Nothobranchius furzeri: one gene and its partner. The protein of the gene in region 1 interacts with the protein of each later gene in a biochemical or structural test. Links are inferred from orthologs where the notes say so. Each region holds a gene or a part of one and is shown in the gene's direction. Other genes may lie near its edges.

Region 1 (4,388 bases):
TCAACAAATCACCAAATGTGGTCTACACTATTATTCAGGACAAAAAGGGTAGATTAAACACTTTCAAGGAAAAATATACTAAAAATCTTTACATAGTAGTAATAAGGAAAAGATTTGCTGTAGAACAAAGATCAACACAGATCAAGCAGCTCCTTCAGCCACTCGGAAATGGAACCAAACTGAGAACATTGATGTACAAACTGGACTTTTACAAATTGCCTTCTCACTCTTTTAACCTGTTGTTTATTATTAAATTAGTAGAATTTTCCCCTAAATTGTTCAAAATAGTCTGTACTGTAGAGGATTAAAAACTTGAACTGTTTTAAAAACATTCAAGAACTAAACCATCGATGTAGCATATTCCAGATTAGATGCTGCATACAAACAGTAACTGTTACACAGTGACTGAGAGGTTGGTTAAATACCTAAAAGTAAATAAACACAGCTTAAGAAACTAGTTCATCCACCTGCTGCACCTGCTGATTGATTTTTCCAGTCTTTACTCGAACCACACCTCTCTGACTCAGCTTGTAGTGACTACACAGCAGACTGGTTCTCTGAAAAGTTGATTAAATACCGCCTTTGTTTTTGTTCACTTTGATACCAAACTCATGGAGTTCTTAAGGGACGTGTCTCTGTATTATTGCCGCATGACGTCATTCTATATAAGCATTTGATATTGTATGGCCATTGCATTACTGTCACACGGTTCTGTTGGTTTAAAAAATAGGTTAGGAGTTCCACAGCGTCCTGCAGTGAGTCATGTCCTTATCCCGGCCGTGACTTCCATTATTATACTTTGGAAGCAAAGTAATGCCCTGAAATAGGTCAGGCAGCCTCACTGTTAATAAATTAAACTGTCAACATCTATGGAGAAGTAATAAGAGCAGCATTGACTGTTACATGAGGCATCAGATAACCAGTTTCATGACATTTATTTTTTCTTAAAACCTCACGTTTTTCTCATTAGGCAGCAGCTGTCCTGTTCCCTGCAGGAAATATTTAAAGTCACTGCTAAAACACTAAAAGGAGCTCTTGTGTTATCCTAATGAGCTCTGTGATTTACTGTCTGAAATGTGCTTTTGCAACCTGCTCCTTGGTTTGATGCAGAATTTTGTTGACATTCACTCGTTTGATTTCCTGTAATTCAATAGCAATGGGTAAAACTATTTGTGGGGCACAGAGCAGCAGAAACATTAGTAGCATAGCAGCAGCAGGAGTCCTGAGCGAATGGGCCAACGCAGATGTGACACTTTACCAGAGCTTCAGTCTAAAATGCAGCACGTTGGACTGTCATGCTTTTGTTTGTTTTTCTTTATTTTCAGAAGAAAAATGCTAATTTGTCTGTTTTTTTTTTTGGAGGCACAGTCGAGTTACGCTAGGCTTTTATTAGAATGCAAAGCTGAGGAAAAGGTTTTCCAATTATCTTTAGAGTAGCTTTGTTCTTCTTTATTGGGCCGAGGAATTTTAAAGGGGCTAATGGTTCGGTTTGAAAGGTCATGTGTTTGGGTCATGTCTCCAAACAGAACCACTGGCCTGCTCTGACTAAAAGCTGAGATCAGCCTGGAGAGGAATGTAGCTTGTCACCAGAGCTATTTTGGCAATGCGCAGCTACTAATGATTGTGATCACAGCGCATGGAGCTGTTGCGTTTGCTCTCGTTTTTTTTTTCCACCAGCAAGTTTGATCATGTACGTCTCGCCAGCCCTACAGGGATTAGTGAGTTGAACAAATGTCACATCAGCTCCGTTTGCATTTTGCGTCAAGGAGAAGCAACACGGACCCCCTGTCGGAAAGCCTCAGCAGCCAAGGTGAAGAGAGTGGAGTCAGTCTGTCGGCTCATGGCCCAGCGGAGAATCTGGCGCACAGCTCTGTTCACTTGAAGGTGACTCCTCTGTCACCAGACGTTGCCAGCAGTCAGTGCTCTTCAGTGTTCATACCCAGGGTTCACGCTGGAGGGTGTAATAAGAAGAGCGTTTTGCAAATTGCGCTGCAGCCCTGTGGGAAACTCGGTGGAAAACTGGATTGCAGTTTAGAAGATGGAGAACCAGGGGCTTGTGAAGTTGGAGCAGGTACCGGCTCTGACGGAGGTTCATGCAACAGCAGCATGGCCAGCGATGCGGGGTACTGTAGCAGCAGCAGCATCTTTGAGCCAGAGCTTCCAGAAAAGCACAGGACAATCCAGGAGAGGACTCTGCTTTGTCGCAAGTCCAAGGTCCCGCTGCGACGATGCTCCTCACTGATTATTATTCCGAAGAGCCCATGTAGCACTCCACCTGCTTCCCCAGGATGTGCTGTGACTCCGTTTGCTTACCCACTGCCAAAGGGTACTAATCAGTCACATCTTCAGACGTCTTTCAGTGATTTCTCCCAAGAGAAAGTAGGGGCGAGCTCCACTGTAGCAAGTGGACACCAAACATCAAAACGAAGCTGCTCATCTGAACTTAGGGACATGAAACACATGGTCCACTTTAATATTCCTCTACAGGATGGAACAAAATGCAAATCAGAAGGCAATAGCGCGTTGATGGAGCTTCCGTCAGCCTCAGACAGACCTAATCTTCACTCTAGCAGCGTGCTGCTGCATTTTGCCCACCAGAAACCAACAGTATCTACCAAGGGAGTTGTGGAAATGGTTGCAGCCAACGAAGCTCACCACCAAGTTCACCTATCTCAAAGGGAAAACATCAATCACAGAAAACTGTATCGCAGTACCTCTGCTTGTTTGTTTTCTTCATCCAAGCCATCAGAGAAAAACGATAAAAGCGGTTTGTCTGGAAAAGATCAAATCGGGCTTGGTGAAAAGCATCGTGCCATACAGAGGAGCTTTTCCCTCGAGGTGCCCTACCCTAACACTGGAATTTCATGCCACGTTTCTAACCCCGAGCTCTGCAGCCCTCGCTCCCCACATGTGCACATTCATTTATCCCCATGCTACCCCGGAAGGTTGCGAAGCTCTGTTACAGATGTTAAGAATCACAAAGAAAGTAATGCAGTAAAGGGTTCAGTTCAAAATGACAAGGTGAGTATGACATTTCTAACTCTTTAGAGGCTTTATATTGATCACCTAGTAGCCTTTTGTCAGCACTCTAGACCTGCTGCCACTGTTGTCAAACAAGTTTGAGTAGATTCCACTCCGTCATTGGTTCAGCCTCTCCTGCATCAATGTTCAGACATATCGAGAGTTTCTAATGAGTAGTATAAATAAACACCGCTTGATTAATTGTTTGTTGTAAACTTGCAGCTTTTAACTGATTGGTTGTTTTCATCAATGAAAATTTCTAAGTTCCAGTACACTGGAATAATGTCACCCTAAAGTCTTAAACTGTTTTTGCTTTGACTTTAGCATTAGACTGGTTACAAGACTTCTAGTAACTGAGAAGCCCTTTAACTTTAAGTCATGTATTTAACAAGCTGTGTGTGGACAAACATTCAGAGGTGTTCAGTTACATTACAGTAAATCCATCTGCATATTGGATACCAAGAAATGTGTAAATTAGAAAGACAGGTTCTCCATCTTGTGAATACCAGCATTCATCAGTGTGAAAACACAATTTCAGTAGAGTTTTCCACTTTTATTATTCTGTTAGCACTATAAGTGATCAGGTTAAGTATTTACCATGGCTATTTATAGAGTTGGGAAGCGCAGTGCCCCATGCCGATATAAATAAGGTGCCTCTGAAATATTCCCCCTGACTCCGGATAGTCTGCTGGTCTGTAGCACTGCCCAAAACCTGTGGATTCAAATTTAACAGCATGATACTAGAGTGGTGCACAGTCATGTCGGCTATCTGCGTACATGTGTGTGTGTGTGTGTGTGCTCGTTTCCAAGTAAACGGGTGGCGTGCTACCATCCCTGTGGGTCCCCCCACCAAGCAATGTTTGTGAAATATCAGCTGTCAGTCTCTTCCTGCGTTTAGCAGGTTGTCAAAGAGGGTCCACTTAAGACTTTTTAAATCTGCAAAGGTTTGTTTTCATATCCTTTTACTAGGGCTGAACGATTTTGGAAAACAATCTTAATTGCGATGTTTTCTTCAATACTGCAATTGTGATTGAATTCACGATTATTTTCTCAAGGGGTTTTTCTCATATTTTTCAACTAACGGAAGCAGAAAAAAAATGTAACTTGTACTGAATATAAACAAGTTTATGTATCTACATATGTATCTACATATCATATCAACAAGTTTATTTGTCTACACATCCATAAACACTCACAAGCCAAGACAAAATCTTGTATTCGAAGGTGCAATGCTTTGCAGCCAGGAGCACATCCCTTGAAGTCGCATAGGTATTGGCATCACCTGTGAAAATTTATTTGCAGGGAAGAAATGTGTCCCGTTTATTGAAGTCTTTTGTGCTTATAGTTTTTGACGTCTTGTCCATGCA
Region 2 (3,652 bases), on another chromosome or scaffold:
TGATTAAAAAGGTGCTGATCCAATAGCAGCAGTCAAAGAACCAAATCATTATGTTTTAAAGAAGTAATGGAGCTTCTAGTGTAATGCTGGTGTGCTTTCATGGCTTTTGTGCTGGTGGTTAAAACCATCATCAAGGTTAAGTGGTGTGGGCTGTAAGGAAGTCAGTAACCAGTAACTTGCTTCCTTTGTAGTCCCTGTGGAAGCAGAGCTGTTCACCCTGTTTCTTGGGAATCGCCTGTATCTGAGCTGCTCTCCCAAAGACTCCATCCATACTGTGAACTGGACCAAAGACCATGCTGCTCTTGTGGATGGAGAACACGCCCACATCCACAACGGTCAGCTGGAGATCGAGGCCGTGGAGCTGACAGACTCTGGCTTGTATGGATGCACCACCTTTGGCAACCACAGTGTGTTCTTTAATGTGTCAGGTACAAAAACACAAAACTGTAAAATGTTTTCATGTGTAATTCTTGCTTGCTGTGCTTCTGATTTTGTTAGAGATGCACGATTGAATATTTCCTGTTTATTTTAGTAGTTAGGCTGCATTTTAATAAGCAGGTCATAAATACTCATTTACTCGTCTTATGTTGCAAATAACTTCCAAGGTAGGAATGATTCTTTTTGCAAGATTCAAAATAGGTTTATTTTCACAAATCTGACAAATGAAGTGAATTTTTAGTGTTGTCTTTTTTTTTCTTTTTTTTTTTGTTATAACTTCAAGACCTCTTGTCCTTTAATGTTGCATCACTGGTGAACCTGAATGTACATAAAGTTGAGTTCCCAAAATGCTTTTCTGCCCACTAGTTGATATATTGGCATCATCTGAGGATGATGACGATGAAGAGGAGTCTTCATCAGAAGAAAACAAGCAGTTGGCCAGTCAGAAGCTGATGCGTAAGTGGTCAGATCTCCATATACTACCATTGCTGATTATTGACTCACCCAAGAAGGATTGTGAGTAATTGTTGGGAACAGCCAGTGATTTCAGAGCTTTATAATTCGATTATAGGCGTGCCGTGTGTGTGGGTCACAACCGGGCTAATTATTTCACTCAGATTCAGACCTTCTCCACTGCCTCTGTGACGGCTCTTACATGATTAATGTTCCTGTGGTGATTAATCGTGGTTAACCTTGGATGAGCCCCAACTTGTCTATAGTGTAATTAAAACAGTTTGGCTTTCTCATCTTCTTGCTACTTCCCGCTCAGCCCACAAAGAATCCAGTAGCTGCCAAGCATGAAAAGCATGTCGACCTTGAGTTTGTTGCCCGACTTATCTCTCAATGAAATTTACACTCCACAAATGACTTTTTTGAAGCTGGAGTTTTTAATTAAAGTGTTTGTTTTTAATTAAAAAGAACTGCCAAGCTTTTAAACTTGAAATGTTTTTGTGATGACTGTGATTTTGAATGCATTCGGTTGTGGTCTAGTTTATACTTGGCATTTTGGTTTTATCTGATACAGTGGGTACAGAAAGTATTCAGGCCCCTGTCAACATTCACTTTGTTATATTGCATTCACTTGCTAAAATCAATTAAATAATTTTTTTCATTATTAATGTACACACAGCACCCCATATTGACAGAAATTTCTGCAGAGTTATTAAACAAGAAAAACTGATATCACATGGTCCTAAGTATTCAGACCTTTTGCAGTGACACTCGTATATTTACCTCGGGTGCTTTCCATTTCTTCTGATCATCCTTGAGATGGTACACCTTCATTGGAATCCACCTGTGTTCATTACCCTGATTGGACTTGATTAGGAAAGACACACACCTGTCTATACAAGACCTTACAGCTCACAATGCCTGAAGAGCGCAGAGACAGAATTGTGGCAAGGCCCAGATCTGGCCAAGGTTACAAAATATCTCTGCTGCACCTAAAGTTCCTAAGAGCACAGTGGCCTCCATAATCCTTAAATGGAAGCACTTGCTAAAAGACACCTGAAGGGCCCTGAGATGATGAGAAATAAGATTCTCTGGTCTGAGGAGACCAAGATAGAACTTTTGCCCTTACTTATAAGTGGTGGTGTGTGGAGAAAACCAGGCACTGCTCATCACTTGCCCCGACTAAAACTCAATTGAGCATCTCTAGAGAGACCTAAAAATGGCTGTCCACCAACGTTCGCCATCCAACCTGACAGAAGTGGAGAGGATCCCCAAATCCAGGTGTAAGAAACCTGTTGCATCTTTACTAAGATCATTGCTGCATTAGCTCATAAGGGTGCTTCTGCCAAATACTGAGCAAAGGGTCTGAATACTAAGGACCATGTGATACTTCAGTTTGTCTTTTTTAATAAATCTGCATAAATTTCTAACATTCAGTGTTTTTCTGTCAACATGGGTTGCTGCGTGGACATTAATGACAAAAATGAATTTAATTGATTTAGCAAATGGCGGCAATTTAAGTTTGAAAAATTGACAAGCCTGAATACTTTCTGTACCCACTGCATACTCTGTATCTAATGTCCCTTTCAAATCAGTCACTGCTTTTCCAAAAATGACAAAAAAAAAGAAAATAAATGTAAATTTTTAGCTTTAAATGGCCCAAATAATTCTTACAAATATTTTACAGGCAGAGAGTGTCCTTAATTAAATTTAAGGTGATTTGTTCAGATGAGTGGAAATCTGAAACAATCAGGGTTTTAATTCCCACCACTAAGGTTGTGGGCAGTCTGCAAGAAATTTTTGTTTTCCTAAGACCACTTTTTGTTTCTTTTTAACCAGATAATTCTTTAGTTAAAAATTCTAAATGTTTTAAATTCCCTTCATTTAAAGCATGTATTTTGCTCTTGTGAATAGCAATGGCCCCGCAGTGGGCTCATCCAGAAAAAATGGAGAAGAAGCTTCACGCTGTTCCTGCCAGTAAGACAGTGAAGTTTCGATGTCAGGCCAGCGGCAACCCAACTCCCACTCTGAAATGGTATAAGAACGGAAAGGAGTTTAAGAGAGACCATCGCATCGGGGGCTTCAAGGTAAATAAGAAATTAGCGTTGATCATCTTTTCCTCCTATTGACACTTCCAACTGTTTTACCTTCTATTTTTAATTCTGGGATGTTTCACTACCAAGATGAAGAGTCTGATATCTCCACATTAGCTCACAGCTCCTCCCCTGGAGTAAAGCACTTTCTGCGGGTGTATAGGAGAGACAAGTTTCACAGTTGACTTGAGACACAATGCTGTTTGAAACCCTATGCTATCAGAAGGAATATTGTGCTACAGTTATACCTTTAGGTCGGCAGTCCTAGCCATCTGTTTAGGTGAAGCAAAGCAGCTCGCTGTCCTCTTCCTGGGTGACACTGATCATCTTTTCCGTAATTACATCCATGCAGTAGTAAATTTACCTCCTGTATTCGTGAAGGTAATGTGATTACTCTGTCTAAATTTCTTCCTGTTTGCCGGCAGCCTGTATTTAAATTTGTGAGGGTTGAAATGAAATAAAGATGGATAGGACTATTACCTCGATTCTAGTCTTACCTGATGGGTTGGATCTTTTATGGATTTCTTTATGCTGTTGTGTAAAGGCTCTAAATGTTACAATTGTATATATTCAACTAATTTGATTTTTAGGGACTGGAATAAACTTTAATTCTACACTTTATTTGTTATTGATTACAGATTTAAGGGATTAAAAGTGTTGGAACCAGGTTA

What was found.
Region 2: the proteins of nedd4a (region 1) and fgfr1a form a complex in vitro, tested with the Homo sapiens proteins (2 studies listed by BioGRID and IntAct, with this or other methods). The link is inferred for Nothobranchius furzeri from reciprocal best matches to the Homo sapiens genes NEDD4 and FGFR1.

Annotation. Positions count from the first base shown.
Region 1 is NC_091749.1:60,023,814-60,028,201, forward strand, and holds the start of nedd4a (E3 ubiquitin-protein ligase NEDD4), read left to right. Parts: upstream 1-1,524; 5' UTR 1,525-1,731; coding exon 1,732-3,021; intron 3,022-4,388. UniProt on the Homo sapiens protein: E3 ubiquitin-protein ligase which accepts ubiquitin from an E2 ubiquitin-conjugating enzyme in the form of a thioester and then directly transfers the ubiquitin to targeted substrates. Specifically ubiquitinates 'Lys-63' in target proteins.
Region 2 is NC_091757.1:34,228,809-34,232,460, forward strand, and holds part of fgfr1a (fibroblast growth factor receptor 1-A), read left to right. Parts: intron 1-191; coding exon 192-428; intron 429-804; coding exon 805-894; intron 895-2,802; coding exon 2,803-2,975; intron 2,976-3,652. UniProt on the Homo sapiens protein: Tyrosine-protein kinase that acts as a cell-surface receptor for fibroblast growth factors and plays an essential role in the regulation of embryonic development, cell proliferation, differentiation and migration.